2 linked regions of the Lonchura striata genome follow. Each later gene encodes a partner of the first gene's protein in a complex. Links are inferred from orthologs where the notes say so. Each region holds a gene or a part of one and is shown in the gene's direction. Other genes may lie near its edges.

Region 1 (9,816 bases):
GTGCCCTTTCTGTTCAGCAGTTGTTTAAGCTTTTAAAGTAGAAATGCTCTGTCTGTTGGCATGGAATATGACTAAGTGTACAGTTCTGGAGAGTTCCCTGCGTGGCAAACACCAAATTTGGGCTCACCAATGCTTGATGCGCAATTGGCTATGGGCTATTTTAGATTTCTGGAAGCAGAAGGGTATCTTTTTTATTTTCTTGAACTCCTGAAGAGGCAGTAAATTATTTCCTTTTCTCTGTTGTACAGCAGCCCCTCATTGGCTTTGTGGAAATAAATATCTGGAAAGGTATTTCTGTAATGACTTACTGAGAAATAGGTAACTTTTCATATCAGAAAATAGGATTGAACTCCAGTTCATGCTTATGATGAAGGTTGTAAGTACTAGATAGACAAAATACATAGTTGGTATTAGGTGAACTGATGTACTTAAAACATCTGAGTTCAATGAAATCAGAATATTGAAAGTGGAATATGATCCACAATGTAATTGATTTTCATATAGGTAGTCACAGCCTTCACAGTCTTTGGGAGAACAAGAAACTAAAAAGATCAGTTTACAGAACACTTTTTCTTTAAAAAATAGTTTGGAAACAGCCTGTTAGCACCAATGTGAGTATCACAAGAGAAAACACTTAAAGATGCATGTTTTTAGAAGCTTGTACTTTGTGCTGAGATATTCAGAAAGGTCTTGGGGTATAAAGGACTGCTAGTCAATACCAGTGCTGGCCCATATCTTCTGCAATGCTCTCTTTGAGAAGCAAACAAAATGGTCAAGAGAAATTGAATAGTCTTTATTTGGTCCTGTTTTGATCAGAACATACAGTGTCTACGTAATGTTTTTGATTCAGAGAAGCAGTTCCAGAGAATTTCAAAATTGCTGACCTGATTATTTTCAAGTCTGTATAGCCCTGTTTTAGTAGTTAGATAGGCTTTGTCAAGCCTGTCCTTATTTCTTACCCTCCACTAGTATTAAAAATACTAGTATTTTGCAGAACAGTTTGAAGAAATGGACCTACTCGACTTCTTTAAAAACTTAGGCTGGAAGAATAACAAGGAAACTGGAAATATTGAAGCAAGCTGCTTTTCATAAATGTTTGTTCTAATGTGAAAAATCCTTCTTTATTTTTCTATGTATAGATGAAATTAAAACTTAATGATAGGATTGGGCCTGAAACAAATGTTGAACAGCTTAAGGTGACTTGCTGTGTATTGTCTGGTGCCACTATTCTGTAGCTCCCCTAAGGTGAGTTCTCTTGATGTTTGGGAAGGTTTAAAAAGATAGCCATTTAAATTTAAACATTCCACTCACTTAGCTACAACTCAGCTTGTCCTGCTGGTTGGACAACACAAGCTCTTCCAATGCTCACTCAGTGACTTGCAGTTCCTAAGATTACTACAGATTCAGCTATGAATATATTCTCCATGTGTATATTTGAAGTACTGTAATACTAACTATGTCAGTGACTGATTATGAGCCTTCACATCTGACAGACCTCAGCAGCAGGCACAGCTATTTTGATTCTGTACACTGTATAAAACTGAAGTCCAGTAGTCACTTAACAGTAAATGGAACATGACTGCAGATTGATGCTTACTTTCAGCTTACTCCAGCAAGATAACTCAGCTATCCAAACTGATGTACATAATGTATTATATGAGTTTTACCATTTGATAATTGCCTTTTTCAAAGAAAACCTGTCCACACTGTAGACTGGCAGTCCCTTTCATATCTTGCCTTTAAAGATAGACAGTGTTTAGTTGTTAGAGTAGTACTCATGTAGGCTTGTTATAGCAGATAGCACCAACATTTTATTTGAGATAGTTAAGTGGATTAATTACAACTTCACAGATATGTCCCCAAATCTGTAACACCAAAGGCTTCCCTCTCATTGTTCTTGATGTAGTAGGACAGTGTTTGTGTAAAGGCCACAGGAGTACATTTTGTTGGACATATTTACACCCAGTCAAGATGTTAAGGTGATAAAAGTGTCAATTGTTCTTTACAAACTTACACGTTGTATAGTATACAGAATAAATCGATTTACTTAGTTTTTATTGCACCATGGAGGTTTGTCTCATCTTTACTGTGGTTTCCTAAACAATACAGGATACTTCGGTATTCTCTGTGGAAAATTTCTAAACTCTAAATCTTGCTACTCTGTATCATTAAAAATATGACTGGGCTTTGGTTTCTAGTATGTTAGACTGCAGAATTACTTTAATGTAATCACATTTATATATATTTCAGTGCTTATTTTTCTATTAAGGCAATTAAAGCTTATTGTTTGAAAACTCCGTAACAGATGATTGTTTGGGTCCCTTGCACTGAATGAAGGGGATGTCTGGGAACCAGCTTGGTGCAAAGAAGTTTGCATTGCTTTAGACTGTTGGCCTAAATATGGCAACAATTCGAAAAACCACAATGCTGGAAAAAAGTCCCACTACTTTCCCAGTCAGCCCGAGGCTTGGTGCTGATCTGTGCACAGCTTCCAGATCCATGGGGTGTTATTTACACAGTTAGCTCAGTCCCCAAGGTTATGCAGCACCCTCTGTGCTCTGCATACTTGCATGCTACATGATTGTCTCTCTTCCTACATATCTCTTGTATTACATTTCAGAGTTCTTAACTGTTCCCTCAGTACTGGCTGGAACCAGACCTGTTTGTTTCCTACAGCTGAAATCCCCAGGCCTGGGCCTTGAGGTGTGAGAATATGGCCTTGGCAGAGAACTCTCTGCTCACTCATTGTACAGTGTGACAGCAGAATAGGAGGTCCTGTGTGAGAAGGGAATTTATCTGCCAGAGTTGAACAGGTCACAGATATGAACGGAACACAGATGTAAGAAAAAGGATAGGACAAATGCTTCTTAACTGCTGAAAAAAAATTGCATAAAAATTCAGTATAAAATTGTATGGGGGGACTGTGTCAGTTCCATCATTTATACATTGTTATCTGGAACACCTTGGGATCTATGCTCTGAAAAAAAAATGCCATCTTTTCAAAAAGATGTTGTGTGCAAGGTAAGAGGTGAGGTCTTTCAAAATCTTGCCAGCAAATATTTGATGCAAGAGATGCATCTTAAAGTAGTCGGTCTGGATACATTACAAACAGGTTGTTTCTTGGCAACTTTCAATGCCCTCAATTCCTGTCCTTAATGGCAGATTTGAAATCCTGGTTTATGCAAATTGTGTCAAATCATAGCATATTTTGGACTCATATCTATTTTTTGCTGTGGCTCATAATTACATTTGGCTCATGAGCTCCAGCTGTGAGTGACTGAGATCAGTAATCCACAGTCCAAGCAAACTCCTGAAATGAGTGTCTTAGAATTTAAGAATTTAGCATAAATATTGTGAGGAAAGGGTTCAAAAAATCCGATGTGAAGCATCACACCAAGAGGAGGTCCAGGTCCTTTCTGAAAACAAAACTGAAATTTCTGTTTGCAGTTCCAGCGTTGCACCTGAAAGATGACTGGCAGCTTTAGTACAGATCTCTCTGGTTTGCCTTGGCAGATGGATGAAGAGCAGCTGTGAAAACTGCTTAGCCAAAACCTCACCCCTGATCTGGACAGCAGCTCCCAGGAGCCCATTCTGGGCTTTTAGTAACACTGAGAGTGACTGTCCAGTTCTGCTGGAGTGAGCATCCTGGTTTGGGACAGCAACAGCAGTCATGGCTGATGAGCCTGGACGTTCTGACAGAACCTGGGAAGGAATATATTTTTAAATTCTGTTCACATTATTTTGAACTCTCCCAGCAAAATCAGGTGTTTCTACAAATCTCTATATGCTAACCTTAGTTTCCTAGCTGTGAAGGCCATACGTCTGCACCTAATCCAAACAATTTTGGGTAAGCTACGTTATTTTCATCTTGGCTATTTTCTGTTTGTGCTTGCTGCTTTCTCCATCTCCTTTTTAGATAGCAGCAGTAAAGTCCAGATAAGCATTTATTGGGAGTGTTTGTTTTGGGAGTCAGGGTAGTGTTTTCTCTCTGTTACTAAATTGATGAGTGATTTCTGACCCATTGCTTTCATGGTTCAGTTTCTCTGTAAACAGGTTTGTCTGTTTCTTTGGTAGTTGCGGGTTTCAGGGGCAGTGCAGATACTGCCCACTGAATACACAGCTGTTAGCTAAACAGCTGAATTCTGAGAGAGGATAGATAGTCAAAAGCAGTTTGGTGGAGAGTGTGGCAAACTTGCCTATGTTAAACTTGGTTTGTATTTTGGACTAGGAGTAGTAGGATGCATTTCCAAGGTGGAAAACAAAAACAGAGAAAGAGAGAATAGCTTCAGTTTTGCTGTCAAAAGAACTCTTGACATAACCTGAGCTGTACAAAACAGTCATAAACAAATCATAAAGGAGTCGGTTGTCATCTTGAGACCTTGCTGAAGCACGGACTATGCTTTTCATTCCCCTTTGTCATGGATGTTAAACTTCTCAACGATGTGTACCTCCATGTCTTGGTGAGAATGGGCTTAATTACGGAAGGAACTGGTTTGGGCCCATTTCCTTTCAGTGCCTTCAGTAACGGTTTGAATGACAAATACAATCAAGCTGTAAATAATTTGAAGGATGGGATTAGAATCGGTGCCCGTGAAAAGACGGGACTGGAGGGTTCCCTGCGCCTGGTGGTGCCCGCGGTGCGGAGCCTCCTCCGCGCCTCGAGCAGGGCACGGGCTGGGGACCAGAGAAGATCAGAACTATCCCTGATGACATAACGAGTAATTTGTTCAGTGTAGGAGAGAAAGAATAAAATGAATAATAATTTTAAAAAAGGATGGTAAGGGAGAGGAGGAATACCGGTTCTGGCATAGCGCGGGGGGCGCGCAGCCCACTGACGGCTCGCGCAGGGGTCCGGGAGCGGTCCCGCCCGCCGGTGGGAGGCAGCGCGCCGCCCGCCCGGCCCGGCCCGGCCCGGCCCGGCCCCGCCGCCGCTCCCACAATGCACAGAGCCCGCCAGGTAGCAGCAACATGGCGCGGGCCGCCGCCTGAGCATCCTCCTCCTCCTCCTCTCCTCCTCCTCCTCCACCCCCCGCCCGCCTCCGCCTCCCGCCGCCGGGCTGCCGCAGAGGGGCCGCCCGCCCGCGCCCTGCGCCATGGCAGCCTCCGAGCTCTACACGAAGGTAGGGCGGCGGCGGGGCCGGGCTGCGCGGGGCGGTGGGGCCGCGGGGCGGGCCGGGCGGGGGCCGGCGGGGCAGCGGGGGCTCGGCCGGGGCAGCGGGGGCTCTGTTCCGTGGGAGCAGCGGGAGCGCGGGCGCCGCTGCCCCGGCGGGGCCGCATCCCGGCGGGCGCGGGGCCGCTCCCGCCGCCGGCGAGCCCGGTGCCGGCGGCCCGGGCCCGCGGGAGCCGCCGCGCCGCCCCTCCCGCCCGGCTCCGCGCTCCGCGCTCCGGCGGCGCGGCCGGGATGCGCCGCGGCCGGGGCAGCGCGGTGCGGCGGCGCGGTTATCGCCTTCGGGCGCGCCGTCCCGCTCCTTGAGGAAAAACGGCTCCGAGGACATGAGCGCTCTGATATTCAGCTGCGCTTTTCGGTGACACTGCACCTTTGGATTATGTTCTTCTGGCAGTCGTTCAGAAGCCCTGCAGTCAGCAGCGATGCGCAGCGTGACTCTCATATGCTCTTTAATCAGACATTTTTCTAATCTTTTTAGTCTTGTGTGTTAGTATCTCATCAGCTTCTGCCTGGAAACAGTTACCGTCCTGTGCATCTTGATGGCAAAGCCTGCAACTTGAGATGTGGAAATGGTTATTTTCACTCCTAGCAATGCATTGTTTTCGTTGCTCCGCCTTGACCTGGTGCATAAATCTGAAAAAAAATGACAGAAAACAGGTCTTAAAGGGCAGAAGGGATGACAGAGGCCACTGGAATTGAGCAGGGCAGCACAACATGGCAAACTCCAAATACTACTTTCAAAAGGCTTGCACAGGCAAAGAGTGTTGGTAGGAAAGCCATGCCATCTGGATCCTTGAGCCACTTAGTTAAATGCTCCAGAATTATCCCCAGTCTAGCACTCTGCAAGGAAGGAAAGGAAACAGACTTTTTGTTTGGACATGGATAGGTCACCTTATTTGTAGAGCCCTCCCACTCAGGAGTGGTGGGACAGCAGTGACTGCATCAGGGCAAATCAAACCAGACAGTCCCTTCAACAGGGACTGCTTGCTCTGAGAGTGTATTTGTGTAGGAGAAATTGAATGTGAGAGGTGAGGTGCATGCCTGAACCCCCAAAAGATTAATTAAATACATGAATGATATGGCACACCTTGGTGTTTTGTATTTCATACAAGAATACCTCTTTGAACTATCCCAAAGGGATAAAATTTACCATTCTGGTCAAGAGAGTGGTGGTACTGCAGAGCTGTTTTCAGGCACCCCACAGACCTTCTCTGTGTAAGGAGTTATTTTAGAAATGTGGTTTTGATTCTTCCTCTCTGATGACGTTCTTCTTATGGAATTAAAATGTCTCATAAAGTGTGGATCAGACTACTTGCTTTTTTCCTTTTTTTTTTTTTTTTTTTTTTTTAATTCCCAACTTTATCTGACCTTGAATACTTTTCACTGAGTGGTTGATTCCTTTGGTCAGAAGCTGCTCCAAAAATGTGGGTGTGCTGTTGTCTTTGAACTGTGTTACAGCAGAAAACTCAAGGCCCCTTATAATTCCTGAGGAGGGCCTGGCTCAGAGTTGGGCAGGCCAGGGTAGGAAACCTGCTGGGTGCTCAAGGGAGACTCTGCTGGCTCTTTCCTCAAGTAATGGCAGCATGCTGCTTGAATAGCATTCACTAGATCATCCTTGATTAGGTAACGTAAATAATGGATTTAAGGTCAAACATGCTGAGGTAAAAAGAGCAAACGCAAAGTCAGACAAGTGCAGGGATGATCCTGCAGGAAGGACTGGCTGGGTGATGAAGGCCGGTGAGATTGTGTCTGTGCTTCTCTCACACCACAGGCTGTTCTTGTCCTCTTTAGAGACACATGTAGGCACAGAAAGAGTGAGTTTCACATCTTTTTTAACTGGTAAGCAGAGATTGTCATTCAGGGCAGCTGCTTAAAGTACCAGAGCTTCCAGTGTAGTGTCAGCTCTTAGCATATGGTGTTGGCATAGATACTTTGCTGGCAAGCAGGGTTGGGGATGAATTTTCAGCACATTGTTGCTGCTGTGTGCCCTGGAGCAAAGGCAGCTCTCCTACCCTCTCCCACTGGATGCCCCCATCCCAGCTTGCCTGTGTTTTTCAGGTGGCTGTGGTGGTGTGAGTGACTTGCAGCGAGGGTTGGTGAAGTTCTGTTAAAGACTGGATGAGCAGTGTTGCAAAGAAGTTGTTGGCATTTCTTCAGATGCTGTCTGAGATTGGCAGGACAGACTTCTTTCCAGCTGGGGGTGGTGGAAGTGGGGCTCTGCTGTATGCTCCAGTGTGTCCAGTTTGCTCGTAGGTTATCCCTTCAATATTGTAAACGCAGGCGAACCCAATGGGAAGAAATGATGATGTCTGACTCAATTCAGAAGGCTGAATTATTTCTTTATTATAACTATGCTAAAATAAATTAATATACTATATAAAAGGAGGATACTAAAACTACATACTACTTTCTCTGACTCTAACTCCCCCACAACTCGTGACCCTCTCTGAGAGTCCAGCCCCAGGTGGGTTGGATTGACCATCAGGCTCAAACAATCCTCACCAGAATCCAACTAAGCACTCACTCCAGGTAAACAATTCTCCAAACATATTTCACATAGGAAAAACAAGAAGCAGAAATAGAAATTGTTTTCTCCATTTCTCTCTGTGTACCTCTATGAAAAATCCTGAGAGGGAGAGAAATGTGCTTGCCACACTTCAAATTTGGGTTCTTTGCATATCAACATAAAGCTAGCATCCACTATCCCAACCATATATTGAAATAGCTGAAAGGAACTCTATTTTTCCAAGGTAATTTTTTTGTTAGAAACCAGCAATACAGACTTTTTTAAGAAGTCATGCCACTCCTGTGAAAACCCTATTGTTTTGATTCATCCAGATGTATTTCTAAATTTGGTGGCTATATAGCCAGCCTTGGAGTTGGACATGGTTGTAGTTAATCTAGAAAAATGGATTTAAGTTAAAGGACTCAAGTGCACTCACAAACTAGTTGAGAGCAGTGGGCCCAAACCATGAGGCTTTGTATTCCTGTGCCCAGTGACTCTGCAAATTCAGACTCTGCTTGGGGGCATTAGCTTTAATTTTGGGGTGAAGCAGCTTAAATCAGTTCCACGTCTCGAGCATTCTTACTAGAAACGTTATGCTTTTGAGCCTTGTCTGGTTGGATATATACCTCTAGCAGGTCTAGGTGGTCTTGTTGTACATTTATTTCTGAAAGTTTTGGATCTTTGACTTTGCAAACAGACTTAGGAGAGCCTTGGTGTGGTTCTTGGGTCGTTGTAGCCCCACTGAGCGATGCTTGGGTGTCACTGATCCATTTCAGCATTTCAGTAGCTGGTGGCCAACAACAGATATATACCTACTTCTGCTGACCCATAAAAATTGATAGAGACAATCTAGGCCATGTACTGGCCTTTGTTAAATGTAATTTGATTTCTGTGGAGATTAAGAACAAGGGAGAATGCTCTGCCTAGAATTGGAACTCATCTGACTACTCTGCTGAAACTGCCATACTTGGTGTTTCAAGTCACCTCTGTGAGTTTCAGGGGAGTGAAACCAAGCCCCATCACATGCTCTTCTTGCCTGTACACAAAAATCAACAAAACTGATCAGACACTGTGTTTATGCTGCCTCTTTTATAATCAGGGTGAAGAGGCGACAATTTTATTCTTTGTTTCCATCTATTTTCCCCTGAGTTTGAGTTGTTTCTCTTTCATGCTGTGTTTTCCTAGAGCATGCTGCTTTGCTCTCTCGAGATTTGTTTCCCTTTTGCATGGCTGTGTACAGTGCACTGATTTATTTACTTATCCATTCAGACATTCATTTATTTTCATTTTTGCTGCTACCAGTGGGCTCCTCCCTTTCCATTATCTTTGAGATGAGGGGGAGCTAGCTCCAGCTAGCTTGGTCCTGATTAGGGCCTAATCCAATTTCAGTTTTAGTGAGTGGAAATGTTCCTTTGCACACAGAGGAATCAGTAAACAGTTTTCACTGGAGAGCATGGCCTGGGCAAGCTGATCTCAGTAGCTGACTTTGAAATGGTTCAGTTTGAGGGTTTATGAGCAATAAATTGAGTTAGGGAAGTGCCAGAGGAAACTGCAGAGAACAAAAGCTGCTTGTGCTGTCCCCAGCATTGCAGTGCCCTTCCTTGCTTTCCCGTGGCTGTCTGCAGCAGCTGCTCTGGGGGTGCAGCAGGGCTGTCACAGTGCTTGGGCTTCTCCTTTGGCAGTGCTGGCTGCTTGCAAGCAAAAATGGCAAATGGAGATTCTGACCAGGCAATGGCTCTGTGTGAGTACGTGAGGGCTACATGGGGAGGGAAATACAGCAAAAAATAACCTGAGCATAACAGAGAAAATGGAACTATTTCAAAATTTCTGTGCCTATTTGTGGGCTTTTCTTGGGATTTAAAAAAAGCTGCTTTAATTATACGGTCCCATATATTGCTGCGCAGACTTGTTTTAAAGTAGATTCATCCAGTGTGCAAGAGGCCAGTCCACACACAGAGCTGAGATATTTGACTTTAAATAAGTCAAATGCAGTTACAGTTCTGCACAGAAAGGGGTGCTGGGTGGCAAATCCATAAAGGCAGCACCACAACCGCCAAAACTTCTCACTAGTTATAGTTTAGCAAACAAAGGCATTAATGTTCCTTGGCTACAAGTTACCTAGTTCCCTTGTTAATTAGTATTC
Region 2 (10,758 bases), on another chromosome or scaffold:
TTGTCATCACCAGGCAAGTAAGAAACAAGAGCAGAACAATGAAAAGCAAGTAAAACTGCGGATGCCCATAAAGACAGAAATTCAGTATTGAGGAAGGGCTCTTCCCCACATCTGGTCTGGTAGATGCTCACCTATAAAAGATTCTGGTGACACTCCCTGGTGCTCTGCCCCATCCTGCACACCTGGCTTGGTTGGATCTCCCACCTGGAAACCAAATAAAACCTTAGAACTCTTAGATGTCTGTCACCTATCCCTATACATAAACCTATCCCTGCACTGCTGGAGCAACTGACAACAAATTTACACGAAGCTCCCACGTGGGAGTGGAAAAGCACAGATTTCACCTTACAAGAGGTGTGTGTTTAGTTATTGTCAGTTTATGCATAAAAAAGGAGATACAGGTCAAAGTTCCTCATCCCCAGGGACCAAACAGCTCAGCAGCAGCACCAGGAGCAGAATTTTTATAATCCTTACCTTTCAAGTCCTTTCTGTGAAGCCATGTGGCCATAAATATTTGATGAAACTTGTCCAAATGTTGGCTGATTTTCTAGTTAAATCCCCTTTTTCTTTTTATAACGGGAAATATTCTCTAGAGAAATCCAGATCCTGAACTACAGGAGATATTTTCATTATGTGTTGTAACTGTAAAATCAGTGTGTGAGGAGAGGGAGAAGGCAGCTGAATGAGAAGATAAGGCTGTCATGAGGACAGCCAGGGCAGCCAGGTGTGGTTGGTAATTCAGGGAAAAGCCAAGTCCCTTCTGAATTGTCTTCCCTAGATTCACAAGAAGACAGCTCTGATCTGAAGGAAAATGTGCTGGATTTCCCTTTGTCCCAAACCATGCTTAACCATTTTTAGTCCGTACAACATTGATGGAAAAGGGGTAACAATCCCATTTCTGCAAAACGGAGCTTTCAGCTTCATCTTCCTCCTACACTGTTGGTTTTTCTCTCCACGTACCATGGAACACTGTGTTCCTGGGACCTTGACTCCACAGCCAGTGGCACCCACCTCCAGCTGGGCTCTCCCGCTGCCCAGCCAGCCCACGACACCCTGGAACATCCCTGTCCCATTCCTACCTCCAGGAGGAGGTCAGCCAGGTTCTGGTGCTGATCCAGCAGCCGCAGAGCCGCTCCCTGGAGCTCTGCTGTGCTCCCAAAGGGGCTTTTCCTCTTCCTGGTTCTCCCTGCTGAGAAGTTTGGGTTTATTGAGCAGTGAGTTCCCAAGACAGCCCGAAACCACCTCCCGCTCCTGCTGCTGAGGATGAAGGCAGAGCGGGGTGTGAGGAAAACATACGGGAGACATGAGGGCAGGGAGAGGGGGTGTATGGGGACACGGCGGCTCTGAGGAAAGCAGAGCGGAGGGTACAAAGGCAGATGTTGTGTACCGGGGGTGTACAAGTGCAGATGTTGAGTACCGGGACACGGCGGCTTTGAGGAAAGCAGAGAGGGATGTACAAGGGCAGATGTTGAGTACCGGGACACGAGGGCTCTGAGGAAAGCAGAGAGGGATGTACAAGGGCAGATGTTGAGTACCGGGACACGGCGGCTCTGAGGAAGGCAGAGCGGGGTGCATGGAACGGGACATGGGGGCAGAGGGAGGGCTGTGTGCAGATAGAGAGAAGGGGTGCAGGAAGGCAGAGGGCGGACATTCACGCTCCCCTGTCCCCTCCGCTGTCCCCGCAGGGAGCGCCCGGCGCGGAGCTCGCCCCGGGCCCGCCTCAGCCCTCACGTACCGAGCAGGTCCCGCCAGCTCCTCCCGCCCGCGCCCGCCATCGCGGCCCGCCGCTTCCCGCCGCGAGAGCCCGCGCCGCCATTGGCTCCCGCCGGCCGAACCCACCGATCCCATTGGCTGGAAGGGAGCAGAGGCCGCCCGCGCCCACCCCGCCGCCTCTGCCCATTGGTTGGAAGCGCTGCGTAGTCCCGCCCCCGCCACCCTCTCTGTGGTGGCTGAGGCGGCGCTGCCATGTTGGGAAGGGCGGCGGGAGGGGACGAGGAGGGCGTGGGGAGACACGGGGGGTCGGGCACGGCGAGGGGACCCGCTGTGGCTGTGCGGTGTGAGGGACACGGAGAGGAGACCCGCTGTGGCTGTGCGGTGTGAGGGACACGGCAACAGGACCCGCTGTGGGTGTGGGGTGTGAGCTCGGAGTGTGTGGGACACGGGGAGCTCCGATCCTCTCAGGTCTGAGCTGCTGACCCTGATCCCACCCAGGGAAGGGGACAAGAGTGGCTGGAATTCCCAAAGGGAAGAATCACCAGCATTGCTGGGAGAATAAATAATGGAATTGTGGAATGGTTTGGATTGGAAGGGAATGGTTTGTGCTGCAAGGGACCTTAAAGCTCATCTCGTTTCACCCCTTGCCATGGCAGGGATATCTCCCACTGTCCCAGGCTGCTCCAAGCCTTGTCCAACTTCCAGGGATCCAGGGGCAGCCACAGCTGCTCTGGGCACCCTGTGCCAGGGCCTCACCTCCCTCACAGCCAGGAATTCCTTCCCAATATCCCATCTCACCCTGCCCTCTGGCAGTGCAAAGCCATTCCCCTTGCCCTGGCACTCCACCCCTTGTCCAAAAGCCCTCTCCCTCTTTTTCCTCAGATCTCTTTAGGTCCTGAATGGCCACAAAGTTTCACCAGGAGCAGAGCAGAATTCACAGAGGAATTTTTCCCTCGGATCCGATCCTTCCTGATGATGAACCGCTGCTGTCGACCACCATGGATGGGAGCAGCAGGGGCAATTCCCTATGGAAAGATGAAGTCCTCGGGGTGTGTCCAGCGCCAGGAAGCAGCTCCTGCTGGGGTTGGCCGTGGATGGTTTATTGCAGTGCTGGTGTGAGTCAGCAGCACATGCTGCCAGGAGCCAGGAGAAGATCCAGATCCAGCACAGATCCAGCATGGACAGTGCCACGGGATCCCACCGAGTCTGGGAACCCTGGCCAGAGTCACATTCCCGAGTCGCCTTAACCCCCAGTGCCATCTGCACCTTTGTGTCAGCCCCAGATTCTGGGGGGTCTGGGCAGCCCCAGCTTTTGGGATCCCCCATCACGACTGGGCCCAGCAGGCATCCAACTGTGAGCTCGGCATTCCAGAGTACTCACAGTGTTTATTCCCAGCATCCCCAGTGGTGTTCCCATTGTCCTTGGAATGCCTTCAAGGTCTTCAGGGAGTTTCCAGGGGTGACCTTAAGGTCCTCATGGTGTCCCCAAGGTCCCCCCCTGATGCCCCCAAGGGTCACAAGTGTCCCCAGGCTGTCTCTCAGAGTGTCCCCCCTCAAACTCTGGCCAGCATACGGCAGCAGAAAATGGCCCAGTAAAATGCTCCCTCCTTCCATGTTCCCAGTTTATTGCAGCATGGAGGGAAAGCAGGAGAGCACATCCACCCCACAGGTGCTCTGTGCGCTCATCCCAGGTTCCTGTGGCTTTGGGAGGAATTTATTTTTGCATATGAGAGCTGAGACCCACGGGAATGGATTACCCACGAGGAAATAGTGGCACAGCCCTGCTGCAGGTGGCTGGGGAAGGGCTCTGCCTGCTCTCCATCCCAGCTCCCCACCTTATCCTGCTTCCACACTGCAAGAGTCAGGATTCCAACCCTCCCATAGTGCTCTGACACCATTTCCCAAACACTTCATCTTTCTTTCCCCCCTGTTTCTTCTGGCTTTAATTCTATTTCCCTCATCCACACACAGGCTTGGCTTCTGTTTGAGTTTTCCATGCCGGTAGCTTTTAATTACACAACGATTCAGTATTAATTACAGATTTACCCAAAGCAAAGGGCTCCGTGCTTTGTCATGCAAATGCCTTGCCGTGAATCCTGCAGGGTGGCTTTTCCTTCAAACGCCGCACGTCCTCCCGCTCCCATCCCCGACGGTGCCGCTCCGGCTGTGGCCGGAGGCGCTGGAAAGCTGGCACGGCACGGCACGGCCCTGCTCCCGGTTCCAAGCAGGCTCCAACCCGGCTGGTTCCGGGGTGAACCGGGCATCCAAACCTCTCAATCCAGACCCAGCTATCGGCGCCGCGCCGGGGGCTGCAGCTGGGCAGGATCCCGTGCGGATCCGGCTGGAGATGCAGCTGGCACCGTGCTCCTGACTCCCTGCAGCACGGTCCCACCCGCCCACGGTGCATTTGAGGTTCCCAGAGATGCACGGACACCTTGGATCACACGTATCCCTTCTCCCCTTTCTCAAACCCCAGGGCACCACGCAGGGCTGGTATCCCAGCTCCAATATCCCAGTTTCTTCCCCAGAGATGGAGCTGGCACTGTTCAGGTTTTCTGGGATTGGCACTGAAAGGCTTTTCTGCTCCATCCTAGGCTCTTTGACAGACATCTCCAGCCCTGGAGCAGCTCTTTGGCCGTGTGGGACAGAACAGCAGCCATGTGTCAGCTCTGTCCCTGTCCCAGCCCTGCCAGCACAGCTCTGGGATTGATCCCTGTTTATGCTCATTGGTTAATGGAGCTGAGATAGGGTTTTATTCTCCTTCCATCATGGAAATGGGAAGCTCATCATGACAAGAGTGTTCATTTGCTCCCTCTGACCTTTCCCATGAACTGGTTGTCCTTTCTGCTCTGTCAGGACAATCCTGCCGTGTGTCTGAAGGGACCCAAAGGTGATCCTGCTCTCATGTCAGACTTTCCCAGTGGCTGCGGGATGCCAGCCCCACACCATATTCCCATGGGATATTGTCTGCCTAGAGACTCCAGCAGATCCTGGCACCTTCACCCAGCTCCTGCTGCTCCTGGCCATGCCCAAACCGCACTCTGGCACCTGGAACTCTTGTCCTTCCCTCCAGGAAGTTTTCCTGTCCCAGCCTGGCTCCTTCCCTGTGCCAGCTCCTCATCCCAGCTGAGTGCCCCAGGGCTCTCCCAGCACCCCACAAGGCAGGTTCCTCGTGGCAGGAGTCCCCATGGGCACTGGCATCCTTGCTCCTGCCCTGACTCCTGCTCCTGTGTCCCCAGGTGACTCTGGTGCCAAGGCCATCGTGTCCCTGCACATGCTGTCCCACGTGTGACATGGGGGCTCAACGGTGCAAGAGCCAGGGCTGGGGCCAAGCCAGGACCACGGCCACCCTGCTCCTCTTGGGGCACAGGGGGTGTCTCGTGTCCCTCGGGGGTGTCACCCAGCGCTGCTCCGTGCCCATGCTGGGCATTGCCCCCATCGCACGCCCCGCAATCCACGCCTGTGCCCTGTGCCCAGCTGTGTGCCCTGAACCCTGCACTCTGCACCCAGCTGACCCAGCGTAACCACTCCCTGCTCCCAGCTCTGCAGCTGTGCTGTGCTGTGCCGTGCCGTGCCACACTGGGCTGTACCGTGCCATGCCATGCCAAGCCATGCCATCGGTACCAAGCTGTTCTGTGCTGCTCTGAGCCACGCTGCTGAGCTCTGACGTGCCCTGCTGAGCCATGCACAGCCGAGCTATGTCGTGCCATGCCAAGCTGTGCCATCCTGAGCCGTACCATACTGTACCACGCCACACCCTACTGCCCCATCCCATTCTGCCCCAAGCTGTGCCAGACAGTCCCGAGCCATATCCCACAGTACCGAGCCGTGCCATACCGTGCCACGCCACACCGTGCCGTGACAGACTGTACCGAGCTCACCGCGCCGTGCCCCACCGTACCCTCCCGTTACCGTACCGTACCGTCCCGAACCGCCCGGCCCTGTACATCCTGCGCCGTCCCAAGCCTCGGCAGGTGCCTGCGGTGGGGCCGGTGTCGGTGCCGGTGCCGGTGCCGATGCCGGTGCTGGTGCCGGTGCCGGGGCGGGGGGCGTGGCCTCTCTCACCGCCCCGCCCCTCCTCACACCCAGCGGTGCGGACGGGCCCGGGGTGGGCGTGGCTTGTCGGGGCGTGGCCCCGCGCGGCCCCGCCCCGTCTCCCCCGCCCGGCGCGCCCCGCCCGCGCTCGGCGGTGCGGGATGGGGCGATGGCGCGGGCGGGCGCGGGGCCGCCGCGGGAGCTGTCCCTGGAGGAGGTGCTGAAGTGCTACGAGCAGCCGCTGAACGAGGAGCAGGCCTGGGCGCTCTGCTTCCAGGGCTGCCGCGCCGCCGCCGCCGCCCCCGTCGCCCCCGCGCCGCTCCGCACCGCCGACATCCGCCTCCGCGCCGACGGCTCCCTCCGCCTGCCCGCCCCGCCGCACGGTGAGGGCCGCCGCCGACGGGGGGGGGGGGCGGGAGCGGGCGGCGCCCGCGCGGGGGGAGGACGGGACGGCACCGCCAAGCGGGGCTTACCGGGGTTTACCGGGCTTACGGGCATCAGGACTTGCTGGGGCTTACCGGCTGGCACCGGGGCACCGGGGCTTACAGGCAGCGGGAGCGGGGCACCAGTGTTTGCCGGCTCTGGGCATTATCGGCACCGCGGGAGCGGAGCACCGGGGTTTACCGAGGTTTAGCGGGGCTTACCGGCACAGACCCCCGGAACACCGGAACGCACGGGGGCTTATCGGAGCTTACCGACGCTGGGAGCGGGGCACCGGGGCTCACCGGCACCGAAAGCAAGGCGCCGGGAGCGGGGCACCGGAGCTTACCGGCACTGGGATCCGGCACCGGGGCTTTCCTGCTCCGGAGCTTAGCAGCGCAAGGAACGGGGAAATGGGACTTACCGGTACGGGGGCACCAGAGCTTACCGGCACCAGGGCTAGCTAACACCGGAATCCGGGATATCGGGACTTACCGGAACCGGGGCTTGCCGGTGCAAGGAGCGAGGCTCTGGGATTTACCCGCGCCGGTGCTTGCTGGCACCGCGAGCAGCCTACGGTGCTCACTGGCACCGGGACTTCTCGGCACCGGGATCCGGGGCGCCGGGACTTACCAGCACAAAGAGCGGGGACATGGGACTTACCGGCACCGGGACTTACCGGCACCGGCAGGGGGTGCTGCACCGGCGTCGGGGACGCGGAGGGACCGGGGGGATCGGTAGCGGGGGGGGGACCCGCAGAGGCCCCAGCGGGAAGGACCGGCAGCGGCGGGGAAGAACCGGTACCGGAGCGGCAGACGGGCAGAAGTGGCACCGGAGATGTGGGGCAGGCATCGGGGCACCGGCAGCAGGGGAGCAGTGCAGGGGGTCATCAGAGAAGCTGTGAGGACAGGGAAAAGGGCCGGTGCCAGCACCGGGAGCAGGAAGGTGGCACCGGCAGGGATGAGGGTGAGCCCCATGCCCAGCCCGGGCGAGGGGAGTGCCAGCCGCACTGCCGGTATCTATCGGGGCAAGGGGTGGCCCGGGGCATGGGGGAGGGGGTGGGCTGGTGACCCGGGGGCCTGGCACTGGTGTGGCACTGATACCCGCACTGGCACCAACCAGGTCACTAGCACGGGGTGACCCAGGGAGGCTGGAGTCGGTGTGGGGGTGTTTGTGTGGTCCTGGAACCACCGTGGGGCTGCAGGACACGCAGCAAGGACAGATGGACGTGGGCACCCACACAGCACATCCATGGGCGCCCGTCACCCACCTCTGCACCGCAGGGGATCTTGTGCCCCACTCCAGGCCCCGGGAGTGGCACACGGGACAGCGCCATCCCAACCTTTGGCCTCCCAGCCGTCCTTCCACAGGTGCCTTGCACTGCCAGGTATGGCTGTGACGGTTCCAGAGTGTCACCAGGCTGGCTGCCAGCGGTGCCACCGGGTGGCTGGGTGCCACGAGGAGCACTTGGAGCATGGCCAGCACCTCCACCCGTCTCGCCCCACAGCGAGGTCACCGGGGATGGCACCTGGTGTCGTGGGGTCGCTGTGGGGCCTCGCTCACATTGGGCAGGGACACTGCGAGGTCACCGTGTGTCCTTGGTGCCAGTGGCTGAGCAGACACGGGTGCATCAGGTGGCTCCATGCCCAGGGCAGGGACACGCACAGGCATGGCACGTGCCCATGGTGGCTGGGCACGGCGTGGCCACACCGGCTCCACTGGTCCTGCACGGGAACGGCCCCACACCCTGTCCTGAGCCACTGCAGGGCTGGAGCCAGTGTCACCTGCCGGTGTCACCTGCTGGTGTCATCTGCCAGTGCCACCTATCAGTGCCACTGTGCCGCCTCCTGCTCCCGGGTTGCTCCTGTGCCAGCCTGAGCTGTTTCCCCAGGGATGAACCAGTGAAGCCTTCACAGTGAATCCTGAGGCTGGGAGGGCTCTGGGTGCCTCTGGGTGACACTGCAGGTGGTGGCACCAGCCTGGCACGTGGCTTTGCAGCTCTACCAGGGCACGGGGCTGGATCTGGGCTGGGTGAGCCAGCAGCACCCTCTGGAACCGCTCCAGTCCCCCATTCTATGGGAATTCCCCCCTCAGCTGCGCCCCAGTGACTGGTGAGAGCTGCTGGGACCCACCAGGGGCTGGTACTGCAGTGGGAGCTGGGCACAGTTCAGGACATGGTTTTTGATGGGCTTCTGTGTGGTACCATGGCAGGGCCACCACTTGTGCTGCCTTTCCTGTCCATTCCTGGCTTGCACAAAGCTAGCACACGGCTGGCACATGGCTGGCACACGGCTGGCACATCCTGGTGGCTGCCGCATTGATCAGCTCAATGCAGAGCTAATGATGAGGGAAGCAGAGCCGGGAGCCCTGGGGACACTGCAGAGGCCATTTGTGTTCCTTTTCCTGCAGCTGCCAGGAGGGCTCCCGTGGGAAGCTGCCCACAAGCGTGTCCTGGGCTCCAGCTCCCGTGGGAAGCTGCCCACAAGCGTGTCCTGGGCTCCCCGTGTGTGCCATGCTCCAGCTGTGGCTGCCAGGCCCCACACTGCCGGTGCCTGTGCTGCTGGTGCCCACACTCCTGGTGTCCACACTGCCAGTGCCCACATCCCACAGGGGGGCATCTCCCCATGGATGCAGAGCTCTCAGCTCCCTCCAGCCCTCGCAGTGAGGGGTACATGGGTGCCTTGGGAGGCTGTGCCAGCACTGTCTGGTAGCAGGGCTCAACGTGCAGGTGCCCACTGTGCCTTGGAGCCATGCCCTGGGACCAGGAAAATACGAGATGAGCCAGGGAAGGGGGGAGGAGCAGCGGGGGGTGTGAGCAGCTCAGCGTGGGCACCCCACGGCCGGAGTGGGTGGGTACCACGTCCCTGGGTGATGCGGGGTGGGGTACTCAGCACGGACCGTGGGTGACTCTCCCCTCCTTCCCCAGACCTGCCCGTGCTGCTGACGCCCTCGGCCGAAGCCCAGGTACGTGGGGGCCGGTGACCTGCCCCATCTGCCATCACGGCCCGGGGTGGGCTGGGCACAGCACCTGCCCCCCTCGCCCGGGGGTCACAGGTCCTGGGACGGGACCAGCACCAAGGAGGGGCTGGGGCCAGCTGGTGCCGGGTGCACGCTGCCCCAGCCGGTGCTGTCCCCCGCAGATGGTGCAGTCGCTGGGCTTTGCCGTGTACCGGGCGCTGGACTGGGGGCTGGACGAGAACGAGGAGCGGGAGCTGAGCCCGCGCCTGGAGCAGCTCATCGACCTGATGACCAACAGCGACTCCGAGGACAGCGGCTGCGCCACGGCCGACGAGGGCTACGGGGGGCAGGATGAGGAGGAGGAGGGGGGCGAGGGGCCGCCTCGCTCGGTGCGCACCTTCGGCCAGGCCATGCGCTGCTGCGCCGCCCGCCTGGCCGACCCCGCCGGCGCCCCGGCGCACTACCAGGCTGTGTGCCGCGCCCTCTTCGCAGAGACCGTGGAGCTCATGGCCTTCCTCGCCAAGATCCGCGATGCCAAGGAGGTGAGCGTGGGCTGCTGGCACCAGGGCCCTGCCGAGGAAACCACCTGCAGTGACAAAGGAATGGGGGAGGCTGCACTGCTCCCTCTGCCCATGCCAACCAGGGCTGCTGGTGCCGGTGCTTGGCCGTACAGCCTCTCCCAGACTGCTGTGCTGCCTGGGAACCAGGAATTGGGGTGCACCTCAGTGCTGCAGCCCCATGGCACAGTCCTGGCTGCACCTTCAGTGCCACCAGGACAAGGTGACAGCATCTTGTGTCCCAACAGCTACTGCAGAAGCTGAAGGAGGATGAGGAAGAAGAGGAGCGGCCGGTGGCAGATCTGGGCAACCTGCGCAACACAGACTGGGTACAGCAGTGTGGCTGGGCATGGGGCTGAGCTGGGAACAGGGCTGAGCTGGGCACGGGGCTGTGCTGGGCACGGAGGCTGAGCTGGGCACGGAGGCTGAGCTGGGCACGGGGAATGAGCTGGGCACGGGGCTGAGCTGGGCACAGGGCTGAGCTGGGCACGGGTGGGTGCTGACACCGTGTCCGTGTGTCCCCCCAGGCCCGGCTGTGGGTGCAGCTGATGCGGGAGCTGCGGCACGGTGTGAAGCTGAAGAAGGTGCAGGAGAAGCAGTTCAACCCTCTGCCCACCGAGTACCAGCTCACGCCCTTCGAGATGCTCATGCAGGACATCCGTGCCCGCAACTACAAACTCCGCAAGGTCATGGTGAGCGTGGCCACCGTGCCAGCCCCTCCTGCCACTCTCCAGCCTGGCACTGACCCCCTTCCCTCCCCAGGTGGATGGAGACATCCCCCCCCGGGTGAAGAAAGATGCCCACGAGCTCATACTCGACTTCATCCGCTCCCGGCCCCCCCTGAAGCAGGTGAGTGCCAGCACCGGGCCACCTCCCTGTCATGACAGTGTTGGTGGGTCCCATGGGTGCCACCCCTGAGCCATGGCCACACCTGAGGTCCCATCTGTGTATCCCGCAGGCATCAGAGCGGCGGCTGCGGCCGCTGCCCCAGAAGCAGAGGACGCTCCATGAGAAGATCCTGGAGGAGATCAGGCAGGAGCGGAAGCTCCGGCCCGTGGAGCAGAAAGGTACCCGG

What was found. Proteins that work in one complex are often made in the same cells at the same time.
Region 2: the proteins of MYO5A (region 1) and SPIRE2 are in contact, whole or in part, in a crystal structure (PDB 5JCY), measured with the Homo sapiens proteins. The link is inferred for Lonchura striata from reciprocal best matches to the Homo sapiens genes MYO5A and SPIRE2. Residues at the interface, in NP_001369276.1 of Homo sapiens: Asp1551, Val1554, Arg1555, Thr1559, Ile1562, Asn1563, Lys1566, Ser1597, Gly1598, Leu1615, Thr1616, Asn1617, Phe1618, Asp1619, Leu1620, Ala1621, Glu1622, Tyr1623, Val1626, Asp1629, Leu1630, Gln1633; in NP_115827.1 of Homo sapiens: Arg404, Pro405, Arg406, Val407, Leu408, Leu409, Lys410, Ala411, Pro412, Thr413, Leu414, Met417, Glu418, Met420.

The regions. Positions count from the first base shown.
Region 1 is NC_134613.1:12,472,709-12,482,524, forward strand, and holds the start of MYO5A (unconventional myosin-Va), read left to right. Parts: upstream 1-4,936; 5' UTR 4,937-5,093; coding exon 5,094-5,120; intron 5,121-9,816. UniProt on the Homo sapiens protein: Processive actin-based motor that can move in large steps approximating the 36-nm pseudo-repeat of the actin filament. Can hydrolyze ATP in the presence of actin, which is essential for its function as a motor protein. Involved in melanosome transport.
Region 2 is NC_134615.1:22,899,074-22,909,831, forward strand, and holds the start of SPIRE2 (protein spire homolog 2), read left to right. Parts: upstream 1-5,901; 5' UTR 5,902-5,917; coding exon 5,918-6,131; intron 6,132-9,094; coding exon 9,095-9,132; intron 9,133-9,308; coding exon 9,309-9,668; intron 9,669-9,931; coding exon 9,932-10,012; intron 10,013-10,210; coding exon 10,211-10,375; intron 10,376-10,445; coding exon 10,446-10,532; intron 10,533-10,641; coding exon 10,642-10,750; intron 10,751-10,758. UniProt on the Homo sapiens protein: Acts as an actin nucleation factor, remains associated with the slow-growing pointed end of the new filament.